3 linked regions of the Oryzias latipes genome follow. The protein of the gene in region 2 interacts with the protein of the main gene of each other region in a pairwise test. Links are inferred from orthologs where the notes say so. Each region holds a gene or a part of one and is shown on either strand. Other genes may lie near its edges. The genes, in order: cep70, gcc1 and znf276.

Region 1 (10,215 bases), on a different chromosome or scaffold from region 2:
ATAGACTGAAGCAATAGATGACTTTGAACAGATTTATGTTCAACTCTGTAGGGTTTTGGAGCCATGAAGGCCTCAAGTCCTGAACACCAGCGGCGGCAGCAACACACCAACAACGCACAATTCTGTATCTCTGCATTTTAGACGTCCGTTTCTCAGTCGAATGTTTTGTCAGCCAGAGATGAACTAGTGGATCTGGTTTTACGCTGATGATACAGGTGTCTATGTGAAAGAACAAATACACTAACACACCATGAGGAGACATAAACCCGCCCTTTACACGCCAGCATTGGCTGTACAGATCATATAATGTCAATGTCACACACACCGGTATGGGGTTGACCCCCAAGGGTGTTTTTAGGTTGTCCGTGTCTATGGCGGGTCATAGAGAAGAGTGGCTACATCTGAAGTTGTTCCCTCAAGGCTTGTTGAGAATGGAACATACCATCATTGTGTGTCTGTGTGGCAAGTATATCGGGAAGTATTTGCCCTTGCACTACACCCTAGTCGTTAATTAGAGTAAAGCCTTATGTTATGTTCACGCTGCCCTTGGAAACGCGTGTTCAAGGAGCCAGTTTCAATGGAAAGTCATGTGAACACGCGTATATGTGCATTTCAGGCTTCCACATTCAAAACTCTTGCGTTCAGGCGTTGCTGCACCAACATTTAAGTCAGTTTTCGGCCTCTACATACAAAAACCATTGAACATGCATTGAAAGTTAAACTAGATGAGCTTTGAAAAATATGGGACGGTAGTCACTTATTAATAGTGCCCCTTTTTAATTCACGAAAGTGTCAACTGTCTGAAAATTAATCATGGAAGAAACATTAATAATTGCGTTTTGTGCCCAACTAGAATTCAATGACTCCAAGTCAGAATAGAGCTGTAAAAGAAAAAGCCTGAAGCAAGATTCCCGATCTATGGCCAATTTTCTATTCGTCCGAATCCTTAGAATCAGCGTACTGAAATCGAATGTGGTTTTAAAAAAACATTTAGAAGTCAGAAAAAACCTCATTAATTCATGTCCACGTTTAACAGCGTTTAAAAAAAACTTGCAATGTTTTGTACTTTTAGTTTGGTAGAATGATCTCTCCTCCTAACGTTCTCCACCATTGAAACCTCAGTGAGGATGAGGAGCACCACCAGCAGTCCATCTTCAGAAGAGGCGAGTGTGGGCGAGGCTTCAGGCTGAAGGACAAAGTTCAGTTCCACCTGTACGTCAGCGCTTCCCCTTGCGGGGACGCCTGCATTTTCTCCCCCCACGACACGGGGGTGGAGGGTGAGCTAACATCTCGTCCCAAGTCCAGCGCCGCAGAGTCCACCGCTTCATCCCCTCTGTCCCTTTAGGTTCGGGCGACGAACCCCTGAGCAGAAGGACCCGTGGGGTTCTGCGCACCAAAGTCCAGACTGGGGAAGGGACCGTCCCAGTTCCCTGGAAGGAACCCCTCCAGACTTGGGATGCGCTTCGACGGGGGGACAGGCTGCTCACCATGTCCTGCAGCGACAAAATGGCCAGGTGTGGAACTCTGGTTTGATGTTCCAGGTTATAGGGGAACACTTTCACAATAAAAGCACGCGGATTGTTAGCTGCTAATGGAACTTTGGGATTCTTTATGGGATTAGGGATCTAGTTATCCCTGTTTTCAAACTAGTCCCTGTTTTTTTTTTACTTTTCAGATTCTGGCCCCTGTTTTTTGTGCTATTGCTGCTCCCTTATAAGGGCGGGGCCTGTAAGGGGGCAGCAATAGCGGGGGCAGGGCTCCATAAAGAACGACCCCTTCAGCATGTTCACATTCGTTGCGCTTTTTCTGCGATCTGTTCCTCTTCTGTTGGTTAATTCCAGTTTTGTTGTTTTTTTTCTTCTTTGGTTTTGGTTTTATTTCCGTCAAATTTAAATTTTATTTGTTTTATCAAACTTTTTCATGATAAATTCTTAAAAATTTGTGAATAAAATACCGTCGTGTGTTTGTTTTTTTACTTTTATAAAACCGCTACTCTATAAATGCAGGTGTAGGGTAAACGATTGACCTGTCAATCATTATGAGTTAGTGGTTGGTAACTTGGATGTCTCCGATTGCGTTAAATCGTATTCTTGCGTCTCTGGTGAGGTACAGGTGGAACGTGTTGGGGTTCCAGGGCTCCCTGATGAGCTACTTCACCGAGCCGCTGTACTTCTCCAGCATCATCGTGGGCAGCCTGTACCATGCTGCGCACATGTCCAGGGCCATGTACGGCAGGATCGGTCCGTTGGAGGGCCTGCCGCCAGGTTTCTGCCTCAACCGGCCGCTGCTCAGCGGTGAGACAGATGCAGGAAACGCCCGGTTCTTGGGTCACGGCCTCCATCAAAGTTCCCTGACTTTGGTTCTGCAGGAATAAGTAACCCAGAGGCCCGGCAGCCCGCAAGAGCTCCACCCTTCAGCGAGAACTGGACTGCAGGTGACGACGATGTGGAGGTGATTGACTCCACCACGGGGAAAGAAGAAATGGGTGGACCGTCAAGACTCTGCAAACGCGCCTTTTACTGCCGCTGGATGCAGCTGCACAGCAGGGTGAGCAGATGCTGGCATTATGTTAGCTTTTATTTAGCTAAATAAGAAATTGGATTTGCTGAAAAGATAATCAGCTAAAAAAACAAAAAATAGTATTTGCTAATTTGCTAATAACCCAAATAAATATTTCCTTATTAGCTTAGTAGTTAATAATTGTATTTGCTATCAAACTAAGTAGCTAAAAAAAACAAATACTAGGCTACATCTAAATGATGCACTATGTAGCTCAAGCAGCATTCTGTACAGCTGTCCGAATCTACAATTTCAAAATCGAGAGTCCTGAAAATTTCCCAGAAGTCACTGCAAACAACCACTGTCCATTGATGCTCACCAGTATAAGTATAATATAGTCCACAATGCAATTTCTTCTTAACAATTTTTGTTGAGGGGGAAATAAATGTATTTTTTTAATAAACCATTAACGTTTTCAGTGGTTATATAAAGTCGTATAAAACGCTCAAATGAACTAGATGTTGGTGATGTCATGAACATTTCAGTTTGAGAGAAAAAAAAAGCATTTTTAATGATTTTGATGCTTTTCCACAACCTCATCCCAGACAGAAATACACACTTTACTTTCTAAATCTTTGTTTGAGGCCTCAAACTCCTTTTTTAAGCTATAGATGTGTGAAGCCTTAAATATGAGGAGGATCCTCTTTGGTCTGACAGCAGAAGTGAGAGTTTTTCTCCGTCTTCTTGTCCGTGTAGCTGTCCTCCTTCCTGCGGGTCTCAGCCCCGCCGCCCAGCAGCTACCACCAGGCTAAGCGGGCGGCCGAGGAGTACTGCTCCGCCAAGCACACGCTCTACAGAGCTTTGGCTGACGCTGGACTGGGCATCTGGGTCAAGAAGCCCGCAGAGCAGGACCGGTTCTCCCTGAGCAGCTCCTGACTCCTTTCAGATGAGCTTCCTGGTTGCCATGGAGACGGGACTGGCAGCAGACCCAGCAGTCCAAAAATGGATATCCTCAGTTTTACCTTGTTTCTGACTGACATGTGCAAAGTCTTCTGGCTGACGCAACAGCGCCACCTGCAGGAGGGGAGCCCTCGTACATGGAAATCATTCAGACCATTTGTTTATTAGGAGGAAAAAAGAATTAAATGTTTGATCTTTTTTATGTTCTGTTAAGCTTTGACGCTCAGATGTTGAAATGTTATAAATAAATGAAGAGGAAAAAAACGTGAGTGAGCGAAACAAATTGTTCAATAAAGTTGCATTAAAAAAAATCTTGTCTGTCATTGGCTTATTTTAGTGACGTCATCACGTACGGTTTGAATCTGAGCCCCAAACAGTCAGTTGTGTTCGTGGCGGGTTTTAAAGAGGATTTTTGTTGTTTTTATCCTGTTGAAGTGCTTTTCAGAGGTTTCTACGGAGTCCGGACTGGTTCGGTTCCTTTATTCGGAGAGTTCGAAACGGTGCCGAGAGTCCAACCGAACCTTTTCCACCGGCATTTCCACGGTTCTCATTCAGGAAAGCGGTTCTGTTCCAGGGGACTGACGGGATGTTGCAGGTGAGTCACGTGACACTCCGCTTGGTAACTGAAAACTGAGGAGGGAGGGGGGCTCAGTTTTCAGACGCGCGCGCGCGCCAGAGCACGAGCGTTTTCAGTTGAGTGGAGGTTGTTGGGGTTCAGAGCGGACATGCGGCCCCCGGGGGGAAATGGGACGTTTGTCTACCTGTGGACCTGCAGGCAGTTCCAGGTAGCGCCGCGGTGGGAACCAGGTGGGTCCCGCTTTGACCCGGGCGGTCTGACCCGGGTTGTGTGTTTGTGTGTGTGTCGCAGGAGCAGCAGGCGGAGTGGGAGCCGCTGAACCGGCTGCTGCAGCAGCGGGGCTTCCGGCCGGTGCTCTTTGCGGACCCCGTGGAGAACAAGAACCCTGCAGGTGAGAGCTCAGGTGATGACGTCACCGCCCAGCAGGAAATTCAACCCAAATGGTCCAAAGCTGCCTTTATTTGGTTAAAAACCCAGCAAATGCGGCATTATTGGGACTAAACAGAAACTAGAATCCATTTTTGGTTCTAAATTGATGATCTGGTTCCTGCCTGCTCCTCTGTGCTTCCAGAACTGGGCCTGCTGGACAGGAAGTCCGCAGCGGCGCTCAGGCGGACTCTGGAGACGCTGCTGGCGGACTCGGACAGGAGGCAGGCTCTCCTGCAGGAGCTGGTCGGGTCCAACAACCGGCTCCGGTGAGTGGCGCCCCCAGCTCTGACTGATGACCCCCCCCCCCCCCTTTGCAGCATTGTGGGGGTTCAGGTTTCTCTGTGGTCATCAGTGAGGTCTGGTCGTCTGCAGACCACCTGTCCTGTTATCCAATCCCCCGTCTGCTGTCCAAGCGTAACCGTGGCAACCGCATCTCTGATCCCATCCGATCACACAGAGGCTTTTATTTTGGTAAACGACTGGCGAACATCAGCTGAGGGGAGGACGGCTCCCTCAGGGACAATGTCTCTGTGAGATCCAGGATCAGGATCTCCTGTCAGGAACCGTGAGCTCTGACTGACAGACGGCAGAACCAACTTTTGTCAACTTCTGATCAAACATCCGCACTTCCTGTTAGACTTTTGTTTATCCTGGTTTTATGTAAAAGTTCCTTATAAAACTAAACCCATCAACTTTCATATAAACTCAAAAACATTTAAATTGGTTTAAAGAATATTTACATTTCTTTAAAAATGATGTATTTTTGCATGAAATACCGAAAAACTTTATTTATTCTACAAAAGTCTAAAAAGGTTAAAAAAAAACAAATACAGTTTTAATGATGGGAAATGAAAAACTATTATAGAAGGATTTCAAACTGAATAAAGTTCAAATTGAAATAACAAATGGTTTTAAAAAAATGAAATCAGGCATCCTTACTTTTAGGTTTTACTTGTTTTTTGTTTGCTTGTCAAATGTAACTAAAATGAAAAAATACTCGGCATGTTAATACTTTTTTTTTTTTTGTCATTTAGTATTTTATTGGTAATTTCTTGTTTGATAAATCCATGCTCTTATTTTGAAATATTTTATTGTATTTATGTATTTATAAATTTCAATGGATTTCTTAAATTATATATATATATATATATATACATTTATTTACCACCAGTTTTAACTTGTAGTTTAAAATTGATATTAAAATATATTTTTTACTACTTTTATTTACCTTTTATTCATAGTTTGACACTAAAATGATCAGAATCATCAATCAATCTGTAAATAATCATTTTAGTATTTTGAATGTCAGTTTTAGTTCTGTCCAGCAGGAATGAAGCCTTAAAAAAGGGGGCGGAGTCAGGAAAACAGAGGCTTTTCTCCTGTTGGTCTTTTTTTATTTTTATTTCTTTATTTTTTTTCTCCAGGGAGGAGGTCCAGGAGCAGATGAGTCGCGCCGCCCAGCACTCCCAGAGGGCCTCGGAGCTGCAGGCGCTGCTGGACCAGGTGAAGGTGAAGGTCCAGGACCTGGAGGACCGCTGCATCTGCAGGGCTGCGCAGACGCACAGCCGCACGCTGCAGCTGCAGCGCCACAGCGCAGAGGCCATAGTCAGTCCCTGATCTTTGCCTTCATTCATCTGACTTCCCAGTTTTCATCAAAAACCGTAGAAATTCAGCATAAAAAAAACAAAATTCAATGAAACCTTTTATTTTGAAATGCAGCTACTCTCCCAGTACTGCTGTCCCTCAAACAGATTTCAAAATAAGAGACAAATCAACTTCTACATGCCCCTCTGCCCCTGATACCCTGATCAGAGCTGCGACGTCATGAGATGTGACACTTTCCTTAAAAAAACATTTTTCACAATGGTGCTTTTTGGTTTGTTTTATCTCCATAGCAACCATTTAGTATTTCGATCGATTTTGTTTTTTAAACCACGCCCACATTCTTAATATATTCATATAGCTGATCCATGCTTAAATCAAAAACTTCTAGTTTAAAGGTTTTTTTCTTTTCTAGGAGTTTAAATGTGTAGCTGCTCCTAAAGATGATTTTTACGAAACATTCAAGATGGTGGTCTCTTCCTCGGGTCAAAGGTCAACAAACCTTCAGTTGTAGTCGTATAGGGAGTAAGCGAACTCTACTGTGTTCTTTTGTAAAATATTTTTGTCACTGACATGACGACTGTGAATATCCAGCAGTAGAATCGGTGACTCGACACTTTTTGCTTGGACCTCCCATTCCTGACACAAATGTACGCTGCTATGGTAACATCCAATACCCCAAATCTACGTTGTTTGGATGGGATTTGTTTACAAATGACGTACATTTTACGTTAATAATTATACCCAAATATTGCATAAACATTTGTCATTTTTTGTAGCAATGATCATATACAAAAATTAACTTTGGAAGAAAATTTTTAACGTTAAATATACTTCATAACGTCGATTTTAAGTATTTATTTGTTTGGGAAATTTGCTTACGAATAACGTAAATTTGATGGTATTTCAGTGAAATTTATGTTATTTGTTTGTAAACATTGCATACAATAAATCAAATAATACGCAGATATTTGGAAATAAACATAGGATAGAAATACATCAATTTTAATGTTGTCTGTTTGCAAATATCGAATAGAAACGACGTAAACTTGATCTTCTTTGGTTGCGAACCTCGCAAAGAAAATTACGTAAATTCTGTTATTTGAATGCAATCGTCCCAAATGAATGTCGTGAATTTTCTTTTTTTTTTTTTCAAATAAATTACGTAACTTTGATGCTAACCTAGCATATGAATAACGTAAATGCTGATATTGCGATGCGAGCCTAGCATCCAGAAATCCCTTATATGGTAAAGGAGTTCTGGAAAGTGGTTGGGGTCAAAGTGCGCAGAGCTTTGGTCAACAGACTGCCGTCTTCAGCTCTGGACCTGCGGTCCTTCCTCTGTGGTTCTGGTTCTGGGTTAAGGCCGTGTGTTTGTGATCCCTCTGTGGTTCTGGTTCTGGTTTAAGGCCGTGTGTTTGTGATCCCTCTGTGGTTCTGGTTCTGGTTTAAGGCCGTGTGTTTGTGATCCCTCTGTGGTTCTGGTTCTGGTTCTGGGTTGAGGCCGTGTGTTTTTGGACCCTCTGTGGTTCTGGTTCTGGTTTAAGGCCGTGTGTTTGTGATCCCTCTGTGGTTCTGGTTCTGGTTTAAGGCCGTGTGTTTGTGATCCCTCTGTGGTTCTGGTTCTGGTTTAAGGCCGTGTGTTTGTGATCCCTCTGTGGTTCTGGTTCTGGTTTAAGGCCGTGTGTTTGTGATCCCTCTGTGGTTCTGGTTCTGGTTCTGGGTTGAGGCCGTGTGTTTGTGAACCCTCTGTGGTTCTGGTTCTGGTTTAAGGCCGTGTGTTTGTGATCCCTCTGTGGTTCTGGTTCTGGGTTAAGGCCGTGTGTTTGTGATCCCGTCAGCGCCGCTGCGAGCAGCTGCAGCAGAAGCTGCGCAGGAAGGAGGAGGAGGCCGCCAAGCTCCGCTGGAAGCTGCGCTTCGCCGTGGAGCAGGAGGAGCGGCGCTTGGCCCGGCGGAACCGCAGCTTCCAGGAGATCTGCGGGAAGACGTCCCGGCTGCAGACCGCCGCCGATCAGCGGTGAGGGCGCCGCCCGCCGCCGCCACGCTCTGCTGCGGCTCTCACCACAGCAGCGTTTGTGTCTGCAGGGTTTTGGACGTCATCGACTTCTACGAAGCGGAGAGGAGGCGACTGATGGAGGAGCTCAGGTGAAGCGGGACTCCTCCTCTTCCTCACTTTCAGGAGCCTCAGTGTCAAAACGAGGAGATTAGGATTAGGAATAATCCCAAAGGGGTTTTAGTATGAAACCTTCTCCTCTGCAGGTCTGCTAGAGGAGGAGCCGAGGCCTCGGAGCTGCAGGACGGTGGGGAACGGACCGCCGCCGGCGCTCCTTCATCCTTCAAAACAGACCTCAAGGCAAAAACTCCCAAATCCAAATCTTTGACTTCCAACAGGAAAAGCTGGAAATTCCATTTCCTGGAAGCTGAAGAGGAAGATTGGAGGAAGACCAAAGGGAATTATTGGTCCACCTGACAGGAAGTTCATTTAAGCAAAGACTTTTATTGTCTTAAGATGCCCAGTTCAAGATTAAAGCTAAAGTGTTTTACCAAAATAAAAGTCTGGGTCAAAAAACGTCACGTTGGCAAAAAAAGACTTCTAAAAAATCATTTAAATCAATCAATGTAAACATAAAATATTAATATCCATTTCAGCCAAAGAATCAGATTTTTCTGAGGGAAGATTGATAAAATACAAACGTTGAAGCATTTATCTGAAGTGGGATCGGTTGAGTTTTGAGGTCACATGATCTTTTCTTGGCTTCCTAAAGTTCTTCAGAAACATCTCTTACTTTGAAGGATTTCTTTTTATCTTTAATGAGGATAAAACCAAAAGTTGCCTCTAAAACAGTCTTTAGGCTTATCTTTTAGGGTCCGGCTCTCACCAGGTGGCGCTGTCCTCCTCAGGTGTTCCCACAAAAGGAGAGGCGCACGCAGCTGGAGGCGGAGCTAGACTCCAGGTGGGTGGAGCTCCTGCTGCTCCTCAGGGTTCTGCTGGGAGGCTGATCCTCACGCTGCCTCTGTTCCTCTGCAGACCGACCCGGGAGCAGCCGAAGGGCCGCAGACGGCGCCACCTGGAGGGGCTGCAGCCGGGCGCCGCCAGGTACGGCGGCAACAGAAGCTGTGGGCTCTGGACTCTCTTTGGGATATTTACTCATAGAACTGGTTATAGTCCATTTTTATTTAGATTTATTTATTTTAGATTTTTTTAAACCACATTAAGTTGTAATTTGATCATTTGGGGAAAATAATGACAACAAAAACGACCAAAAACAGTTTCCACCTTCATTCTATTTGCATCGTTTTGACTTTTTACTGCTCAAATGATCCAAATGAATCTGTTTTAAAGAGAAACCTGATCAAATCATTGGTTTTGATATAAAATATTGTCTTCCTATCGTTCTTTTCTGCTCCTTTCAGGCTACAGAAACATTTAGTTTCCCTAAAATACTGTTGGGAGCTGAAAAAAATGAAATCTTGACAGACTTTATATTTGAACGTTTTTGTCTGAAGTCTAAAGCTAGGGACACAAAAACACTCGCTAAAGGCATTTGGGGTTCACACTGGACCAGCAGGGAGGGGCTTCTTCTACTCTTTACCAGCGCATGTCGAAGTGGTGCAGATCTGGCGATTTCAGCGCAAAATGGTTCCGTTTCTTGCTAGTGCCCTCCGTACGCCGAATAGGGATTAGCGTCATGTAAGGGGAGGGGCCTCTTCTTATCTTTGTTTAAAAAAACAAACGCGTGTCGTCGGGTTTGCGATAAACCAAGTACCCTGGAGTTTGGCGGGGTTCTCCACGTCTGTTTGACCTTAACACGTGTGTAATGGCCGTGCCTTTAGTTTGAAAACTGTCGTAGGAATTTGTGTAGCTCCACGTGAACGCAAGAGTTTAGAACGCAGGAGCTGAGACGTGGACCAGCTAAGGACCAGCTGAACGCAGCCTAAAGGTGGTTCTGGTGGAGTTCTGTTGGTTGAGGGTGGAGCTCCTCTGCGTGGTGACGGACAGAGGAGGAGCTACCTACGGTTATTTTCCACTCCTTTCTTGTCTCTGCAGGTTGACCACAGTGGGCGGAGCTAAGACAAAGGGCGTAGAAGAACCTCCTAGGGAGGTCTGGCTGTGCGCTCAGTTCCGAACCGTGAGCGCTCTTCCCCCG
Region 2 (10,551 bases):
AAGAACAAACTCACCTGAGCCTCTGCTCACGTCTGCTACCTGATGCATGTGTCTGCACAGGTATCTACACAGCCTACAAAACCTTCCTACACAAAGACAAGATCCTCATCAAGAGACTGCTGAAGGTGAGCAGGTGGACACACCTGGGTGGGCGTGGCTTCATCTGAAGTGTTTATGCGGATCTGCAGGGCATTCAGAGGAGGCGGCCGTCGGAGGCGCAGAGCGCCATCCTGAGGCGCCACCTGCTGGAGCTGACGCAGAGCTTCATCATTCCTTTGGTGAGCGCAAAGAGCAGGTGTGGTGGTTCCTCCCACCTGAGCAGACGCACATGACAGAGACCTGAGCCCTGTGCTCTGTGTGGCAGGAGCGGTACATGGCCAGCCTGATGCCCCTGCAGAGATCCGTGACCCCCTGGAAGGTAAACAGCAGGTGCAGCATCCCGTCCTCCGCAGAGGTTCTCAGGTGTGTTTGTGCTCAGACTCCTCCTCAGATCCGCCCCTTCGTCCAGGAAGACTTCCTGTCCACGCTGGAGCATGCAGGCCCTCAGCTTACCTCCCCGCTCAGAGGGGACTGGGTGGGTTTGTACAGGTGAGTCCGGTGGTGTCGTCATGTGTGGTCAGTGAGTGATTAGCCCCGCCTCCCATCCTCTGGTCCATGTCCCCCTGCTCTCAGAAAGTTCTTCAGATCTCCCAACTTTGATGGCTGGTACCGTCAGCGACACAAGGAGATGATGCAAAAGCTGGAGAGCCTCCACCTGGAGGTGATCTGTGATGCGGTAAGCCCCGCCCTCCCTCCCAGCCGCGACAGCTGATTGGTCTTTTTGTCCTGACTCTGAGGCGTCTCCCCTCAGGACCTGCTGGGATGGACCAGGGACAAATCTGAGGTGGAGATTGTGGACCTGATCCTGAAGCTCAGAGAGAAGCTGGTGAGTTTCTCCTTATGACACCTCCTCCTCCACCTCCTCTCCCAGTCTGCTCCAAAATCAGGTCAGGAGAAAGCATGACCTCCCCACCAAAGTCAAACCCGGTGACCCAACAGAACCGGGCTGCTGTCTTCCAGCCGCTTCTGTGGCTGCAGGGTTGGACGATCTACGGCCCGTGGTCCTGATCCGGCCCGCCTCCATGCTTGGTCCGGCCCCTAAACAATATCAGAGACCCACATAGAACACGTTTTAGTCCACCGTTCTGCAGTCTGTGCCCCGACCTGAACCCTCTAAAGTCCCTGTCAAATCAGGAGACGGGCTTCCTTTAGTCGGGGTTCTGAGAAGAACCACACAGGAGATGAGAGACGTCTGCAGAAGGTCACAGCGCAAAGCTGCCTTCCCGGTGGATCCAGTCTGCTTTTATTGGTCGATACCATGAAAGCTGGTCATTCAATCAAGCAGAACAGGAACATCATATCTTGTGTAGTCAGAACTTTTCAGTTATTGTTTTTGAACTGAGACCATCTGTTGATAATAGCCTGTAAGTAAATGATAATTACATGATCCTAACACCTTTCTACGGCACAGCTCATCTTTATGCCTCTTTTTCTTTTTTTTTTCCAAAAGTGCACCTTGTCCTGTGTGCTGATTGGCTGGAGACCTTGTCAATCAATTCTGCCGAGTCAGAAATCTTTGATCGCGATCAGGTCTTTGTTTTCATTCTAAGATGCTGGGCTAAATGTCTATGAAGGCTTGAGAATTTAAATAAGAGAGAAGCGTAGAAAGAGTGCAGAGGAGTTTCTCTGCCAGAAACGTCTCCCTGGATTTCATTTTAGAACTCCTGCGATGAACGAGGGAATTCTGTTCTGGAGAGAAATGCTGAGCTGCTGCTTTTCTCATTCTTACTGGATGAGAAACAGACGTGCAGGAATCAGCTGCTCAGTTTGATCCCTGACCCCCTCCCCCCCTCCCCGGACCATGACGGCAGAGGATCCACTAGATTGAATTTCTTTGACAATCACAGTTATTTGGTTGTTTTTTATTTGGTAAATAGTTTTATTGAATGAATTTTTAATGAATGACTGAAACTTTCTTCATGTAGCACTTCCTTCAGGGGAACCATCAAAATAAAAGACTGAAGTTTCAAATGAGAGGACAAAGGTTCAGGGCCCGCTCTAGCATCCAACATTTGTTTTTCCTTCTTCCCGTCATTCAAACACCGCTTGAACGCAGCATTTCTACGTTTTATAGACGTACGTCAAACGGCTCTAAAATGAGCAGTTTAGAGACAAAAACTCAGAAATGTCCCGTTTGAAATGAATTTAGTGTCCACACGTCTTTGTGCAGATTCTCTCTCTTCTCCACATCTGCCCTTCAATTGAGTTTTAGAACGGAAAGCTTTGCCCTCACCTTTCTACTTCCTGTTCCTTTCAGATTAAAGCTCGCAGACAGCAGCTGCCGGTCCAAGACGGAGTCTTACAGAACCTGGACACTTTCATCAGAACTTTGATCGGATCACTGCGGGACAATCTGCATGAGGTTTTTGAAACGGGCTGATGGTTTCTGGACCCGCAGAACCGGGTCGCCGCTCTGCTGTTGGACAGATGATCCCCTGAAGTGTTTACAGAACCTGGAGGCTGTGAAGGTCCAATAAAGTCTGAACCACCCTGACATCTGTATGCATGAAAGCTTGAGAAATGCTCAGGTTGACCCAGTCCCTGTCAACCAGAACCAGAACTTGCGCTTCCCCTGCTGGATCTGTTTCCTGATTGGCTGCACATTCCTTTCAGACGAGCTTTGCTAACGGACCGTCCGGTCCAGCAGAACTGGGAAAAGACGGAGACCGACAGAGCAGAAAAATACTTTAATTCAAATAGACGGTTGACAATGGCGGTCTCACTTCTTGTGGGCGGGGCCCCACCAGGCAGGCCCCTGCAGCTTCAGGACATCGCTCTTCTCCTGCGGACTGAAGTGCAGGATGGTGAGGATGGCGCCCAGCGTCTGCTGCCGCCCGCCGCTGTCCGGCAGGGTCAGGAACTTGTAGATGACGTTCTTCAGGTACTCCAGGTTGGCGCCCTCGCGGCTCTGGTCGCGGACCAGCTTGTCGAGTTGAGCTCGGAGCTGGGCGGCGTCCTCGTCGTGCCGCTCGGCGTTGGCGATGAGCTTAGCCTGCAGTTGGTGCAGGTCTTCCTCCAGCTGGTGCTTCTGCCGCCGCAGAGCCCCCGCCTCCACCTCCATGCGGGCCAGCTGCTGGGCGTACAGTAGCAGCGTGGACTCCGTGGGCGTGGCCTGCTGCAGGGCCTGGCTGACGGCGTCGCCCTCGCCGTCAGAACTAGCCTCCGCGCCTCCGTCCTCCTGGGTTTCCCGCCTGCAGCTCAGGGTTGCGGCCCGGAGCCTCTCCAGTTCTTGGTCCTTCTCGTCCAGCAGCACCATGGCGCGGTTCCGGTGTTTGTGAAGCTCCGCCTCCAGGCACAGCAGCCGTTCACGGTGGAGCGCCTCGGCCCGCTCCAGATCCTGACGGTGGGCCTGCTGCAGCGCCGCCATCTGCTGCTGCCGCTCCTCCAGCTGCCGGCGGTGTTGAGCCTCGGCCTCGTCGGCCTGGATCCGCAGGCTGATGTACTTCTCGCGCAGCTCGGCCTGCTGGGCCCGGACCTCCTCCAGCTCCTGGGCCTGGCAGCCGTCTTTGGCGTTCTTGTTCTTCAGCACCACCTGCGCCCGCTGCTTGTAGCGCTCAAACTCCTCCTTCAGCTGCCGCAGCTCCTGCTGGACCGCCGCCGAGGGCGGGTGGTCGGCTGGCTCCGTCAGGTCCTGAATGTTCTGGTCCGGGTTCTTCTGTGCCGCCAGCACCAGCAGCTTCTTCACCGTCTGCAGTTTGCCCTTGAGCGTCTCCACGTCCAGCTGCGCCTCGTCCAGCCGGAGGTCGGCGCCGGACCTGCCGGAGGCGGCGAGCGCCAGCGTCTTGTTCTCGGTATCCAGCTGCAGGATCCGGTCCCGGAGTCTCTGCGCGGCGTGCTGGTCCCGCTGCCTCGCCTTTTCGCAGGACCCGAGCAGCTCTGACAGCTCTGACACCCGCTGCTCCAGGCCCGCCACCCGCAGCTCCGCCGCCTTCGCCCGCTCCACGGCGCGCTCCTCTGCCACGGCCGCCTGCGACACAGAGAACGCTGGAGGTCCTGGTCCGGTTCTGAGCGGCGCCGTGTCGGACTCACCTTCTTGGTCTCCGTCTGGACCTGCTGATGCAATCGCGTCTTCAGCTCCTGCACCTCCCTCTGCAGCTCCTCCACTCGGGGGTCGGGCTTCTTCTGGCCTTCCTCGAGGCTGTGCAGCCGCCTCTGCAGCTCGTCTCTCTGCTCCTTCACCTGGCTCAGGTGGAGCTCAAGCTCCGCCCCTCGATCCTGTGAGGATGCGATGAGGGCGGAGCTGGCGTCCTGCAGGCGCAGCTCCGCGTCCTGCCGGGCGTCCCGCTCCTGCTGCAGCAGCTTCTGCAGCTCGCGCAGCTGCTGGGCGTGGTCCTCCTGCTCCCGCTGCCGCTCGTGCTGCTGCGTGATGACGCGGGCGCGGCACTCCGCCAGCTGCTGCTGCAGGTCGCCCAGCTCCGCCTCCTGCTGCGCCGTCACGGCGGACAGCCGCTCCTGCAGCTCCTCCACCTCCTGCTTCAGCTGCCGCTTGTCGGCCTGGAAGCTGGCCTCCATCCGAGACTTCTCCTGCGTGACGGTGGCCAGCGCCGCGGTCAGTGTGCTCAGCTGGCTCCTCAGCTGGGAGAGGCGGCGCTCCGGCTCCAGGTTCTGAGGGGGCGTGGCCTGTTGCTGCTCCGCCTCTCCGATGTCCACGTCCGGCTCAGAGCGGGGCGGCTGTGGAGAAAAGCCCGATGGTAAGCTGCTGACGGGAGGTCAGGCTGGAGTGAGCGTGCTCGGACGAACCGTGGAGTCTGGTCCAGGTCTGGACTCTCCCTGCTCCTCCTCGCTCCGGTCCTCTCGGACGCTCCCGCTGTCCTCGCTGTGCACCGAGCTGCAGTCCTCCAGGAAGTTTGGGCCTCCAGTGGTGAGCTGCTGGTTCAGGTCCACCTCTTGGCTGACAGTCAGGACCCTCAGACTGGCTTCCAGGGCCTCCTTCTCCTTCAGGAGGCTTTTGTAGGCCCGGACAACATCCTTGAACCGGGTCTGGTACTGGACCAACTGCTTCTTCTGCGACTCAATGGTGTCCAGCAGCTCCTTCCTAGAGGGCCCGCCTCCAAAACTCATCCCGAACTTATCCATGTCTAAGCCGAGCCACAGGAGACTGGAGACTCCGGTTCCGTCAGGATCCGGGATCCATCAGGATCTCTGAACCTGGAACCAGTCCAAATCTGTCAATAGAATTTTTCTCACGTTAGTCCTTATTTCTCCTTCAAGGCCGTGTGATCCATACAGTCAGACCGGCCCGGTTTGGTACAAACTGAGACCACTTCTTCCTCAGTTAACTGACGATTCTTTAGTTCCGAACCGGGAGGGTACCTGCGTTTGGAGCCGGAACATTCTGGGTTTAAAGGCGGAACACATAAGGCTTTAAAAATGTCTTTTCTTCTCACCTTCGCTTCGTTTCTGAACTTTCTTCGATGTCCTGGTTTGTAAAAGTAAATCCCGGACGGAGAACCGCCTCTGGGCCAGCTCTGATGAGTTTGAAGGCTTTAGTGCCGCTCGGCCGCCATGTTCAACGTTCCTTCAACCCGGAAGTGCTGCAAGAGAAGGAGGCGGGGCATAGTGCTGCCTTCAGGAGCAAACACCACTCAGAAACAAATGAAGTGAAAACGGGCTTTAGGACTTCTAGTACTTTCTGCTTGAAAGACGATCTTATTTATTTCAATCATATAAATAAAATTGTTCGAAAAAAATAGAAGATAGTATTTTCTAAACGTACCGAAAAGCCTTTTACACAGTTCTTCCCTTGGGCACTGAACGCAGCACTCAACCCTGTCAATAAAGTTGTGAGGCGGCTGTGACGTCATTTATTCCGCGTTGGCCTGGACGTGGCACCGAGGAGGAGCTGCCCCACCAGTCCAACCGAGGCTGTGCGAACCGAACCTCCGCTGAAATGGGTCTGACCATCTCGTCGCTGTTCTCCAGGCTGTTCGGGAAGAAGCAGATGAGGATCCTGATGGGTGAGCGCCGCCGGGCTCCGGGTCGCAGGTCCAAACGAACCGGGTTGCCCCCGCTAGGGTTACTCCGCTCGGGCCGGACCCGTTGGCATTCCGCTCAGCAGAAATCCATCAAACTTCCGGCCAGCGGAGCTAGCTAAGCTAACGGCAGCCGTGTTTCCGCCCCCGTCGGAGTGGACCGGAAACTGTTCGGAACCTGATGGCTGTCTGTTGTTTCAGTGGGTCTGGACGCGGCCGGAAAGACCACCATCCTGTACAAACTCAAGCTCGGAGAGATCGTCACCACCATCCCCACGATCGGTGAGTGAGCCCCCGAGGGGCGGGGCTTAGTACAGGTCTGGTACTGGGAGCGTTCGATGATCAGTTATCGGTGACGTCATCGGTCTGAGCGAGGCGTTCACGGTCCAGGTGAGCAGGTGTGGAGTCACGTGAATCCTTGGTGTGATCCACAGCCCAGTAGTGGTTGACCTGTGTGAAGTCATCCTGTCCCATAATGCTTTGCAGTCTGGATCCAGCATCTTTACTGGTACTTCTCGCTGGTACTGGTTGTACTGAAAGTCTGCTCTCTCTGACTTCCTTAAAGTTTCTTAAAGGACTTCTACAAAGTCCACACAGCTGAGTGGCCTAGTGTAGAGCGTCCACCCTGATGCTGGTACAGTGTGGGTTCAAATCCACAGACTCCAAATGGAACTCTCTGGAACTAAAAAAGTTTCAGGTCCAAACTTCTGTGTGTGGATCTTAAGGTCTGGATGTGGACCACCTGAATCTCTCCAGAGATGGGAGCTGTCAGGAAAGGTCTCCAACCTTTTTGAGGCCATGGTGTCTACCGTCTGACTGTAGATTCACGGACCGGTCTAACGTCTGATTGTAGATTCACGGACCGGTCTAACGTCTGACTGTAGATTCACGGACCAGTCTAACGTCTGACTGTAGATTCACGGACCCGTCTAACGTCAGACTGTAGATTGATGGACCGGTCTAACGTCTGACTGTAGACTGATGGACCGGTCTAACGTCAGACTGTAGATTCACGGACCGGTCTAACGTCTGACTGTAGTTTCACGGACCGGTCTAACGTCTGACTGTAGATTCACGGACCGGTCTAACGTCTGACTGTGGATTGATGGACCGGTCTAACGTCTGACTGTAGATTCACGGACCGGTCTATCGTCAGACTGTAGATTCACGGACCGGTCTAACGTCTGACTGTAGTTTCACGGACCGGTCTAACGTCTGACTGTAGTTTCACGGACCGGTCTAACGTCTGACTGTAGTTTCACGGACCCGTCTAACGTCAGACTGTAGATTGACGGACCGGTCTGACATCTGACTGTAGATTCACGGATCGGTCTAACGTCTGACTGTAGATTCACGGACCGGTCTATCGTCTGACTGTGGATTGATGGACTGGTCTAACGTCTGACTGTAGATTGATGGACCGGTCTAACGTCTGACTGTAGATTCACGGACCGGTGTAACGTCTGACTGTAGATTCACGGACCAGTCTAAAGTCAGACTGTAGTTTCACGGACCGGTCTAACGTCAGGCTGTAGATTCACGGACCGGTCTAACGTCAGACTGTAGATTGACGGACCGTCAGACTGTAGATTCACGGACCAGTCTAAAGTCAGACTGTAGATTCACGGACCGGTCTAACGTCAGGCTGTAGATTCACGGACCGGTCTAACGTCAGACTGTAGATTGACGGACCGTCAGACTGTAGATTCACGGACCGGTCTAACGGCAGACCGTAGATTCACGGACCGGTCTAACTTCTGACTGTAGATTGATGGACCGGTCTTACGTCTGACTGTAGATTGATGGACCGGTCTAACCTCAGACTGTAGATTGATGGACCGGTCTAACGTCAGACTGTAGATTCACGGACCGGTCTAACGTCAGACTGTAGATTCACGGACCTGTCTAACGTCAGGCTGTAGATTGACGGACCGCTCTAATGTAAGACTGTAGATTGACGGACCGTCAGACTGTAGATTCACGGACTGGTCTGACGTTTGACTGTAGATTGATGGACCGGTCTTGCGTCTGACTGTAGATTCACGGACCGGTCTAACGTCAGACTGTAGATTGACGGACCGGTCTAACCTCAGACTGTAGATTGATGGACCGGTCTAACGTCAGACTGTAGATTGATGGACCGGTCTAACGTCAGACTGTAGATTCACGGACCGGTCTAACGTCAGACTGTAGATTGACGGACCGGTCTAACATCAGGCTGTAGATTCACGGACCGGTCTAACGTCAGACTGTAGATTGGCGGACCGTCAGACTGTAGATTGATGGACCGGTCTGACGTCTGACTGTAGATTGATGGACCGGTCTAACCTCAGACTGTAGATTGATGGACCGGTCTAACCTCAGACTGTAGATTGACGGACCGGTCTGACGTCTGACTGTAGATTGATGGACCGGTCTAACGTCAGACTGTAGATTGATGGACCGGTCTAACGTCAGACTGTAGATTGACGGACCGGTCTAACGTCTGACTGTAGATTCACGCACCGGTCTAACGTCAGACTGTAGATTGATGGACCGGTCTAACGTCAGACTGTAGATTGACGGACCGGTCTAACGTCAGACTGTAGATTGACGGACCGGTCTAACGTCAGACTGTAGATTGACGGACCGGTCTAACGTCCGACTGTAGATTGATGGACCGGTCTAACGTCAGACTGTAGATTGATGGACCAGTCTAACGTCAGACTGTAGATTGACGGACCGGTCTAACGTCTGACTGTAGATTGATGGACCGGTCTAACGTCTGACTGTAGATTGACGGACCGGTCTAACGTCTGACTGTAGATTGATGGACCGGTCTAACGTCAGACTGTAGATTGATGGACCGGTCTAACGTCTGACTGTAGATTGACGGACCGGTCTAACGTCTGACTGTAGATTGATGGACCGGTCTAACGTCAGACTGTAGATTGATGGACCGGTCTAACGTCAGACTTTAAGCACTGGCCGCACGGATTTAAAAAAAAAAGCCCGCTCAATGTCGGAGCTTTGTTTACAAGGGATCCACCAATTTTATTCTTCTATGCTGTGATGTCATCATTGGTTCAGGCCGTGTTCGGGGGCCTGCGACTAATAATGACATCACACTATTTGATTGGCCGTACGTTGGTCTGATGACATGAAAGATAGTGATTGGTCTGGATAAATCTATAGAAGATGAACTTGGAGGTCCAGTTGTAAACAACAAAGCTCTGACACAGAGCAAGATGATCTTTATGCATCTTTATTATCGCTTGTGAACCATTGGAGTCAGTTGCGGCGTTTCAGGCGGAGCGGCTTCTGGTCCGTGAGAACAACCATCTCCATAAATCCTATTTGGAGGAAAACTCCTAGTTTTTCTGTCAACAGCAACTTTATGTTTCCTTCTTCTTCCTCGCTGATCTTTTCTCTCAAAGAAACTTTCCAAACATTGTGAGATTTTTAGCTTTTAAGCTAATTTAGCTCTTGAAGTCATGTGACGCACCAAGACAGACGGATGTGGTTTTCCAAAATAAAACTTCTTTTAGTGTCCGAAAATAAACTAAATGGAAAAATTCCAAGTCAGAGATGGAATTTTGGTTCTGTCTGTGGCCCGGTACCAAGTGGACCACGGGCCGGTACCGGGCCACGCCCTGGGGGGTTGGGGACCTGTGGCGTTAGCGTCACCTGCCGTGTGTTTCAGGGTTCAACGTGGAGACGGTGGAGTACAAGAACATCTGCTTCACCGTGTGGGACGTGGGCGGTCAGGACAAAATCAGACCTCTGTGGAGACATTACTTCCAGAACACACAGGTAAGGCTTCCAGAACCAGACCTGGGTGTGGTTCTGGTTCTGTAACTGGATGTGTGAGTGGAAAAGCCAAGAAGACCCGAACCACCAGCAGAACCTTTGGGTTTGCTGGGTTCTGGTGGCTGAATGTGGTTGAATCTTCTGCAGACGGAGGCGGGGCTTAGCCTCCATCAGGTGTTCTCTGAATGTCCTGGTGGATCTGCAGAGTTCTGGTTGTCACAACGGGGTCAGTCCATCAGGAGTCCGACAAAGGCGTCTTTATAAACTGTGAGGTTCTGAATAATGCGTCATAAGCAGAAGCAGGTTCCTGAACGAAAGAAAAACCATTGACAAATGAAGATTGATCAATCTGAGATTACGGATTAAAGGCCCATACACACCGGGACGAATATTCGCCAGGCGTTATTCGCCAGCGTTTTTCGCCACGTTTTTTGTGTTCACACCCAGGCGATTTTCGCTGACGATGAGCCGAGCGAACATGCAATTTCATTCCCTGACATTAGATGGCGCTTAATGTAAAACAGAAATACTCCTGTACACAAGGTGGCGCTGCGCAACTTTACGCTTCTTAAAGTCGCTTTTCACTCAGAAGAAGAGAGCAAGTATTTACGCGCTTGTCAGAATAATACAAAGAAAACATGAATATTTCAAGCACCAGTAGCTCCAACTGGTGCTTGGTTCGGGGATATTT
Region 3 (10,389 bases), on a different chromosome or scaffold from region 2:
CCTCTTTTAGTTTGCACGACAGACATTTCAGGTAATTACAGAGAAAACTCTAGAACTTTTTTTTATCATAATGTTGTTGTAAGAGTCAGAATTCTTCATCACACTTGATATTTGATTAATCCTAGATGGGAAAGCTACAATCGGTTGTCTCTCCCCACATAAGATGAGTGCTTAATTGTTTATTTGCACCTTTGCAGTTTAGAGAAAAATTAACAAACTGACTCCCTTTTTTTTATGTCTTGTTTAGAATTTTTATTTCAGAAACGGTAAAGACAAACAGGAGAGAAGACTTTCTTTAAATGAATGAAGTACCTTAAGTCCATCTGGTGCTCTGTAGACGGCAGTACAGCCTTGATACGGACACTTGTAGATGTTTGGAAGTTCCTCCCTGAAAAACATCAGAAATGGCTGTAAGTTGTTGTTTACTTAAGACCCCGGGCTGAACACTGGTACCGGTCCTTGGGACAGTGGGTACCGGGCTGCAAAAAAACAAAACACCACCTACATTTTTCTGTGTTTTTTATAATCTGACTCTGAAGGATGTTTTATTTTGCAAAACTACTGGATTCTCTCCACCACATCCGACTCATTTTGGACGCGTGTCCCGTTACTCGGTCGCGTGTTGAAAATCCATCCACTGCTTTCTTGAAGCGGCTGCTCTGACCGCTAAATGGAAACCCCCTAAAGTTACCAAAAAACAAACGTATTTGGAAATTTTTGTTTGGCAGAAACGATCCAGAGAGGAAACAGAAGAAGCTTCAAAATAAAAGCAGTCTTTACTCCAATTCAATTCAATTTTCTTTCTATAGACTAATATGACAACAAGAGTTGTCTCAATTGGATTCATACCGGTAATTGTATGAGAACATGGAATCAGTCATAAAATTCAATAAACTAAACTACACAGACTAAGATAAATGGGGCCCTTAGACCCTCCTTTACCAAAATCCAGGTGTGGATTTATTGCTACATTTGTTTCACAACAGTTGTCATACGAGGCTGAGATTGGCGTCTGATTCTTTAGCTTCCACTTTGACAGTTATGGGTTAAAAGAAAATCTAGATTCCATTTTAATGGTTCCTACACAAAATCTAGTGTTCAAATAAAGTTTAAAGCAGCTGCAGAGATTTGACAGAAAACAAAGATAAACTTTCCCCTTAGAGGTGTTAGGAAACTGTGAGATTTAAAAATACATAAATGAATAAACAAATCGGACACGCCCTTTAGCCTCGTACAGGCCGCTCCGTGGCCTGGAAAAGTTTGGAGCCCACTTACTTAAAGAATAGATCTTCTTGTTGTAACTACAGTACAATGCATGGGTGGAGGAGATGCTCAGAATAGTGTAAATCTCAGCACAAACCCTTTAGGTTTGAACTTGTTCTTCCAGCCTGGTTTGGGTCCAGGTTTCTTTCTGACTTTGGGCTCCTCTGTGGATTTAAGGCTCTGTCTCCTCTTGTCGGGGCCGTTTACTCTGCGAGCTCTGGAGGAAAAAATAAGAGACCAAATGAAATCGTATTTATTTTCATCCTGAGAATTAAAAGCTCATTTAAGGGGGTGAGCTTCCACAAATCATTGGCTCAGGATACATTAAAATGAGAAAACATTTTTGTTCCAGAAATACTGAACACATACAAAGGACAAAAACTAAAATGTTTATTGGACAGCAGAGTCCATAAAACTACCATAAACAGCCGGCCATTCTTTCCCTGTGGCGTGTTTTTAATGGTTTTATTCCAAATAGTAGGAATATAAAGTAATAATTATACATTTCTCTATCCTTCATATTCTTAGTTTGTCCTTCCAAAGGTCCCTATTGCTCAGTGTCATCTTTATATGAACATATTTTTACTGATGAAGACCACCTGCTTTCATCATCCCAGCCTTTTAAGAGCTCAAAAATCCCTTTAAGTTCTTCTAACTTTTTCCCGCTCAGGTCCGTATAAAAGTCATTTTTGACCAACCTCTTTTCAGCGTACGGTTCAAACATCTCCTCGTCTGACAGGCTTCCCTTTGTGCCTTCTTCACACTCTTCCTCAGAGACGACCCTGAACACACCAAACCCGTCTCAGTTTGAAAGCAAGTCGATGCTAAAACTTAACATTTGAAGGAAAAAGAATTATTAACCCCATTAAATTACTGTGATTACACCTCAACTGTATCAAAATACGATCTTTTTTTATACATTTTCATTGACCGAAAACAAGAATTCATGTCTTCATATGGGGTCGCATGAGGATCAGCTTAGAGAATAAAAACCAGGTTAAAAATTAATAAAATTAAGAGTTTTAAACTTGAAACTACACATTATAAACTTAAAATAAATATCCACAATTTGATTTTGTTTAATATATATATATATATATTAAATATGAAAAAACAAAAATTAGAAATATAAAGCAGTAGAAAAAAATATTTTTGTTATTTAGACAGTTATGGGTTTAGAGTTTTATTCAAATCAAGTTCTCTGTATTTCTTAGTAATAATAACAAACGTTAAAAAAAAAAATTTAACTGTCAACACAGGTCCAAAGTGCTGTTCACTGCAGATAAAAACGTATAAAGGAAGACACAAAATACATTAAACGTGTACAAAGAAATGCATATAAAGTTACAAAGTAACAACAAAACATCTCACAAACTTCTCATAAAAGAGAATAAAGAAAGAAGGAACTTCTTTACTGTGTGGGCTTAAATCTAAAAAGTGGTGTTTTAAATTAATTTACAATTATTTCTTTTCTTTGAAGTTTACAATGTTAATTTTAGAGTTTAAAACTGTTTTCGAATTCTCAATTTCACAATCTGGTTTTTTATTCACTTTAAGCTGATATGACCCATAATTTCACTTTAAGATTTTTTTTTCCATTTACCGGTCAGGTAAAAGAATATTTACCAGTACAGAAATAATGTTCAGGTGATTTGGGCACTAATTGGTTTTATTATGAAATTTGAAGCCGGGCTGTTTTTCAACTTGACAAATACTTTAAGGTAAAAAAGAAATCCACTCACCGGTCAGACAGATCACTGTCGGCAGTTTGGTCCTCCAGCTGGACCGGTGCTGGAGACGTGGTCTCCTCTGGACCCGCACAGTCTGTCACGGAGAAGAAACCAGAACTATGTAAGTCCAAGACTCTGACGGATGCATTAGAGCCCAAATAGATAGAAAGAAATCAGCGGAAAACTCCTAATATTTATACAAAAACATGAGCAATCATATAACAAAAGGACTTGAAGTGAGAAAAAGCATTTATCAGAGTATCCTCAGTATCATTAAACCCAGTTAAATACATTTTATGTTGGTTTCCTCTCACAATCTAGAGAACAATGGATAAAATTGCTGATATCTCTTGGTTAAACTAAGCCTTTGTCTGAATTTCCTCACTACTCCATGTAACCTCTATCTAGTGCTCTGAATTCTAATGGAGTTCAGACACATGCTTTGTTGGGTTTTTTTTTCATTTTCTTTTTTCATGTTAAAGCCTTTGGTTGTATTCAAAGGGAAAATCTGTTCTGGATTATCCAAGGAAAAGGACTCTGATTCACTTTAAGCAAACCAAATGTGTCCAGTCTGAATACAGCCTAAAACTGTTTTTTTTTTAAAATATTTTTTTACGTTCACTTAACCAGATAAGTCAAACCTCATTTACAAGACCTGGACCTATCAACGTGTTTTTTGGATTGTTTATATTTGATGTGATGTAATGCGAAATGATCTTCAGCTGCGTTGTTGAATTAAATGCAGGCTTTTATTTTCCAGAACCCGTCAGTGTAAACATGTTGTTTGCTGGAACAGAAACCGACTTTGTTTTCTGTTAATTTAGAAGCATTTTTTTTTTTTTATTTTGGCATTAAATCAAAATGCTTAAGCTGTGCAGCATCAGGGTTTCAGACAACCGCACCCTGCATCCCGCTCCATGGTGCATTTAGTGCAGCCGGAGGACTTTCTGAAATGCAGGTCTCACCTTCACTGCTGCCAGTCCACTCATCCGGAGCAGAGTTCTGCATCTGCACTGCAGCTGCAGGTAGACCACTCTGACGCTGAGAGCTCACATCTTCCAATGACGTCCTTCCATTCCCAGGAGGTTGTTTTTCCTCCTCGTCATCCTGCTCCTCACCCGACAGTTCTCCATCACCGATGCCCCTCCCCAGATCTCCACCTTTGAGGCTCTCTGCGCGGCTTAAGCATGGAGGAGGGGTGTAGCGAGTGTCCATGATGTATCTGTGACCGTCCACGCAGCCCCACACAGCCTTAACAGAGCCCCAACACTGGCCCTCCAGCACCTCCTTCAGGTCGGGGCAGAAGCGGCAGGCTTCCCCGTGGTGGTGCGCCCAGGACACCAGGCTGTGGAGGCACTTTGGGTCTGAGGTGAAGGAAGATGGAGCTGAAAGAGTGAAAATGAGTTTGAGTAAATGAACAATTCACCCGTTAGAGCCAAGAAGAGAGAGAAATGTTTTCCTTTACTTTTGGAACTGTAGTTCATTGTTGACTCTGGACACTTTGCATTCTTCCTGAATAACATGCAAAAAAGATATTTGTGTATAGCTCTGGATTTGTTTAAATAGTGACTCATTAAACTTTGGTTTTTGTTCTGACTCACTGGATTTTTAGATTCTCCTTTCCAACTGGTGGGATGTTTACTCTCTGGAGGAACCGGATCAGGATGCCGTGGCACTTGTAGAACTTGGCGTGGCATTTTTTACAGATAAACTCCGACAGCCGAGGGTCCCGGTCCAAGCGGACCCCGACCAAGCGCTGGAAGTCTGAGTGAAACAGAAGGGGCGACTGGGTCGCAGCGCCAACTGTGTCCGGGGAGTCCTGAGGCAACTTGTTGAAGGCGTTCCGCAGACTGCGAGGGGAGAACTTCCCATGGCAGAGTCGACAGACGGCAGCAGACAGTCTGCCTGTAGATAGAAAACTATTACATTTACAGCTTTAAACGGCATTACTGAGATTCTCCTGAAGTTCTTTAAGGGATTTTTCTTACACCTGGAAAATATTTTGTAGATAACCTGTGTCCTTTTCTAAGACATCGTTTCTGCAGAGCAGCAGTAGTTCAATAGGAGCAATCTCACCCCCTTTCCCGTCACCCATTACTCTCTGTTGACACGCACTCACCAAAGCCCCTCACACCCCCAACCTAAGATTAAAGGGCGATCAATAATGGAACTATCCAGCTGTACAGCTTTGATCCAGATGCCAGTTCAGATGAGGAAAACAAAAACGTTCATGGGAAACTAATTTCCAGTAATAAAAAGAAAAGGCTAAAAAAAACAGAAAAGGTAGGTATTATACAGGTATGACATCACTGATTGGATGATAACCTTTGTTCACCTTTTCAACAGGAAGTTATTTGTCATGATATCTTCAGACAGAAGAGATTTCTTTAGACTTCTGGCCACAGTCACTGAAAAAGTGAATCAACTCTTTAACACAGTTTTTTTTTTTCAAACTCAAAGGTCATTATCATCTTTTTGATTTCTGGAAATTACTTTTATTTTCCACATTTTTTTTGGGGTCTTTTTTTACGTTTTGGTTTCTTTAATTTTGTTTTAATTTCTTAATTGTCGTGATTTGTTTTTGCGTTCGGAGATTTGTTCATCTGATTTGCACTTCAGGGCCACCGTAGTTTCCACATTCTATCTTTTTAAAACTTAGAAATGAGTATTAACAACAACTGCCAACAGGAGGCACACGAGTAGTGGCTGCCATTTCCAGCTGAAAGAGCAAATCTTCAGCACCTGTGAACCCCAGCTCCTCTGTGAGACTCACCTGTAGAGCTGCACATGCTCTCTGCATGTTTCTGTGCTTCGTCAGCAGCCACGCTGAAATTTGTGCTGGCGGTTTGATGTGTTTCTGCGCCGTCACAGCCGTCTGCGGCGGCAGCTTGACCTTTTCTGGGTCTCCTTTTGCTGCCGGTGGGCCTCTTCTTCTCGTTTGTTTCCCCCGTCGTCTGCAGCCATGGCGACTCTTTCGATCTGGGGCTTCTGCTTTTCTTCTTCATGCCTTTTATTTAGGGCTGGACTGTCAGCAGCTGCTCTTATGATGGAAAATCTGCTGCTTGAGTTCAAATGAAAGCCACATATAGTTATGTAATAAATGTAAATAAAATTAAAAGGCTTAGCTCATTAGGATTGCTAGTACTACAGCATCTGTTAATATTTTTTTTATTTTATAGTAAATGAATATAATTACACTTAGTGAAAGGTTTTATAACTTAAAGGTTAATGTTTTAAGATTTCAAATGACTACATTTAAAATTTTTATGATAAATTACTCCCACAACCCCTAAAGAAACCTCACGTCACTATGATGATACTATGGTTCTTAACTTGTTTTACATTCACGTTGAGCATTGGGAAATATTTTATTTTCACAGCCTTTAAACACAAATTATTATTTCTTATATTAAATGCTATAAATCGATGCTGTAAAGCTATTCTTTTACAGAAAATAAAAAAAATCATCAACAAGGGTCGATGACATGAACACACAGTTAGCATTGCATACAAAAACATCCCGTTAGCCCAGCTCGGTTAGCCTCTTACTCTTACTGAGCTTGCTCCGAAGGTTTTTTTAACTCCAGAAAAACTACAAACTCCTGAAGCTGCATTCAAACTAAAAGCGAAGCCTACCTTAAAGGTGCATAAATCCTATATCACGAACAGCATGTCGTGTTTTATCCAGTCTCATAAGATACTCATATTCTGCCTCAGCTCGTTTGTAAACATTGTTCCCCGGAAGAGCAACCAGACGGACAATCGGAAACATGGAGCAAACAGCGCCACCTAACGAGCAGGTGGACAAACGAACCGAACGGTCAATGCTTAAACCTGATGCGTTTTACAGAATAAATGCCTTTTTTTAAAGCAAATTATCAAATAGTAATTTGGCATTTGGAATTAGAATTAATTAATTTCATCTGTTAAAGAAAGAGGACAAACAAAAGAGATATAAATCTATACATTGATATATCGAACTTTTTTTTCTTTTCAATTCAATTCCTTTATTTTAAACACAAATGAAAATAAAGAAAAAAAGGGGTTACAATAAAATAGTCTGGATTTAAATGAAAACAAAAAATAAAATACATACTTATCCATGTGTATACTTCACACATAGACATATAGATTATGCTATTTTAATTTCTTTAAATCATAAATAGACATATTTGTACTTATACAAACGATACATGACACAAAAGATATATTAAATGCGAAGTTTTTGAAAAACACTTTAATGAATTACTTGAAAAGGAGTGGGAGGATAATCCTTAATCAGTTTATATCAAATCAAATCAAATCAAACTTTATTTATAAAATAGCGCTTCTCATGCACTTTGTGCAGCTCGAAGCGCTTTAACACTAAAAACAGTAAACACACAACACTATAATGTAAAACAAAACTACTTTTGTGAATTTTTTAAATACAGTAATAATAAAACCTGCTTTTATTACTTTTCTTTTAATCTACTTTAAAATCCTTGTTTTATGTTTATTAATTTTGGTTTATTATTCTGCCAAACCGCCTGGCACCTCCGAAGGGGAAAGCAGTTCTCTGCAGGCACCGTTTTCAGTGCAGGTGGGGAGCTGTTGACTTCGACTGGGGACATTGTGGGGCGGTGGAAGGAATACTTTGAGGATCTTCATACTGACAAGCTTTCTTTTGAGGAAGCAGAGGACAATGACTTTGGCGTGAGGCTGTCAATACTGGACCAGCTCTACACCCTCTTTAGGGTGCTGGAGGGTTTGTGGGAGTTCGCTCATCCAGTCTATATGTGTTTCGTGGATTTGGAGAAGGGATTCAACCGCATCCCCGTGGTATCCTGTGGAGGCTGCTCTTGAATTATAGAACAAAAAGTGATGCAGCTTGTTACACAACAATAGACCAGACCTGTTCTAGAACCTGCTCTTGGATGTCCCACTGACACCCTGTCAGGATCAGAGACAATTGTAGCCCCATGAGAGGGTGCCACCCACAGGTACAGAGCACGTTGAAAGTCCCAGAGTTTTTCAACTTTCCCTTCTGGTTGGCACTGAATATTAAAATATTATCTGACTCTTTCAATCCCCTTGGTCGGTGACAAAGTCAAAGGACAAAAGCTTTTGGACAAAATTCAGTGGCGGCAAATGATGATTAGGAAGTGATGTAGCAGAAATGTTGGATTCCTGTATTTTAAACACCTCTGTGTTGTGGGTTACCATTACAAGCATGTCGAAACAAACAAACGAGCAGTTGTGGTCTCCAGCACACACGCTAAACTAAACTGGTCGACTCTGAAAAAGGAAGAGGTTTATTATTTGAAGTTTTAAAAAGTACTTTGCAGCAAAGTTGCTGCATTATGTATATAGATTTTCAAAGAAAACACACTTCCTATTTATTCTTTCTTCTCTGTTTCTTGTTTACTTAAAGTAAAAAAAATGTAAACGATAAAAAGGAGAGATTTTCAATTCATCACTTAGAATCATTGTAATATTGTTTTATTCTTTTAATTCTGACAGACCTGCTGCGAAAATAACATATTTAAGTAGTTTGTACTTGGTGTAGAAATATGAATAGCTAGATGTTAAGAATTGGAATATGGTAATTATGTAAAATGAGAGTGGGGTTATACATATTTGCTTCCTCCTTTTCCCTTTTTATTTATTAATATCAAACTATTTGACAATTACTCTATTGAATAGATTGAATGTGTTATGTGTGTACTGCATACATAAGTGCAAATATGTTTATCTAATTAAGAAAAATTATGATATCAAGAAGATAGCATCATTGTCTTTTCTTTCTTTTTATGACCTGTATCTATTACATATTTTGTTTTGTTCTTATTACTTATTTTGTGACTGTGTTATGTGGCATGAATTTATTTATTACACATTCTATTTTAAATTCTTATTCTTATTTTATTTTATTCTTAAACTTTATATATAAATTATAAATTATAGTATAAATTATATTTTATCATGTTTTACAAACATAATAAATTAGGTACTGATCAGAAAGCATTTTAATGTCCCTATACTTGTGAAAGTAAAAATAATCCATCTAATCTAATCTAATCTAATCTAATCTAATCTAATCTAATCTAATCTAATCTAATCTAATCTTTGTCTTTGACCTAGAAAATGACACATTAATGATATGGTCTCCATATTTATTTAAAAGAAAAGAAGCTTAATCAATTATTGAAAATGGTTAAATTGATTAATTTCTAATGATATTACTTATCTTATTCCAAAAATTGATCCATGATCTTTCCAAATGTAACATCATTTTGCAAATTTTTTTACTTTTGATACTTGATCAATTTTTGCAATGAAGATTTTTTTAAACAGTGTTATGTCTATTTTACTGATATAGTTTTTATTAATAATATACATGATTTTTTATAAGTAACATAATCTGCATGTATTTTAGATAAATGATCTGCATTTGCCATGTTGATTTCTAAAATAGTTATTTTTTACATAATCATTTATGTAATTCATATTTGTCACGTGCTTTATCGATACTTCAGGATTCTTCTGTCTGATAAAAGTTATGAAGCGGATAATGATAAATCGTATAATAAAATGGTTACGGTATAACGGGGTGGGATTATATGAATTCGCTTCCTTCCACTCCCTTTCAAGCAATATTTATTAATATGTCTAATTCTCCTCAGTTCGATACATCATTGTATGAATGTATAACTGATGAATGTATAGTTTTTGTGTATTATTCTTATTTAATTGCTTGAAATAAACCATTTCAAATAAAAAAAAAATCTAAATTTTTGCGTCAGAAAAAATAGAAATATTAAAAATATTACAAACAAAATAATTTATCATTAAATGTATCATTGAAATCCTGTGGGTTCTTTCTTTCTGGCCACAACGTACTGTGAAGGTACAAGGAAATTGTGATGTCATGATCATGTTGGTTCTGCAATAGACCTGTTATAAAAAGGGCAGCAGAAGTGCTGAGACTCCATAAGATCCAAGAACCCAGTGAGAAGAACATCGTCCTCATCTCCTCCTGGTCAGAAAGAACGCCATGAAGACTCTCTGCTTCTCTCTCGGGCTGCTGCTGTTTGTTGTCTGCTGCAGTGATGCCATGCGTAAGTTCTCATGTTTGTTCCTCATCCGAATTTTTACGTCTTCTTTTCTTGAGTGATACTAACTTTTATTGTTTTGGTCTGTTCAAGCCTTTGGAGTTTCTGCTAGCACAGGTCCTGGACAATGCTGCTTTGACTTCAAAAACATACCACCACAAAAGATTGTAAAAGACATCATCCAAACCCATCGTCTTTGTTCAAAAAATGCGTTTATGTAAGTCTGTAGTTGATACACAAAAATATGATTAAAGTGATATACCGGTATTTGAATGTGAAATCATTTGGGGGGTATTTTGAAA

The links.
Region 1: the proteins of gcc1 (region 2) and cep70 interact in binary tests that used the Homo sapiens proteins (3 or more experiments, as listed by UniProt). The two-hybrid records come from large-scale screens. The link is inferred for Oryzias latipes from reciprocal best matches to the Homo sapiens genes GCC1 and CEP70.
Region 3: the proteins of gcc1 (region 2) and znf276 interact in binary tests that used the Homo sapiens proteins (3 or more experiments, as listed by UniProt). The two-hybrid records come from large-scale screens. The link is inferred for Oryzias latipes from reciprocal best matches to the Homo sapiens genes GCC1 and ZNF276.

The regions. Positions count from the first base shown.
Region 1 is NC_019860.2:1,157,099-1,167,313, reverse strand, and holds the start of cep70 (centrosomal protein of 70 kDa), read left to right. Parts: upstream 1-3,793; 5' UTR 3,794-4,045; coding exon of another isoform or gene 4,046-4,054; 5' UTR 4,055-4,184; coding exon 4,185-4,244; intron 4,245-4,327; coding exon 4,328-4,427; intron 4,428-4,607; coding exon 4,608-4,731; intron 4,732-5,889; coding exon 5,890-6,070; intron 6,071-7,908; coding exon 7,909-8,084; intron 8,085-8,152; coding exon 8,153-8,212; intron 8,213-8,326; coding exon 8,327-8,420; intron 8,421-8,968; coding exon 8,969-9,021; intron 9,022-9,095; coding exon 9,096-9,164; intron 9,165-10,115; coding exon 10,116-10,197; intron 10,198-10,215. Other genes in the region: double-stranded RNA-specific editase 1, read left to right, coding at 1,123-1,277, 1,346-1,514, 2,113-2,294, 2,369-2,547, 3,256-3,435.
Region 2 is NC_019881.2:23,897,854-23,908,404, reverse strand, and holds gcc1 (GRIP and coiled-coil domain-containing protein 1), read right to left. Parts: upstream 5,611-10,551; 5' UTR 5,487-5,610; intron 5,265-5,486; 5' UTR 5,176-5,264; coding exon 4,840-5,175; intron 4,771-4,839; coding exon 4,129-4,770; intron 4,067-4,128; coding exon 2,819-4,066; 3' UTR 2,772-2,818; downstream 1-2,771. Other genes in the region: ADP-ribosylation factor 4, read left to right, coding at 5,990-6,056, 6,273-6,353, 9,754-9,863. UniProt on the Homo sapiens protein: Probably involved in maintaining Golgi structure.
Region 3 is NC_019864.2:27,729,675-27,740,063, forward strand, and holds the start of znf276 (zinc finger protein 276), read right to left. Parts: upstream 6,762-10,389; 5' UTR 6,630-6,761; intron 6,055-6,629; 5' UTR 5,999-6,054; coding exon 5,767-5,998; intron 4,899-5,766; coding exon 4,595-4,898; intron 4,506-4,594; coding exon 4,459-4,505; intron 4,379-4,458; coding exon 3,959-4,378; intron 3,088-3,958; coding exon 3,006-3,087; intron 2,046-3,005; coding exon 1,962-2,045; intron 1,481-1,961; coding exon 1,361-1,480; intron 389-1,360; coding exon 313-388; intron 1-312. UniProt on the Homo sapiens protein: May be involved in transcriptional regulation.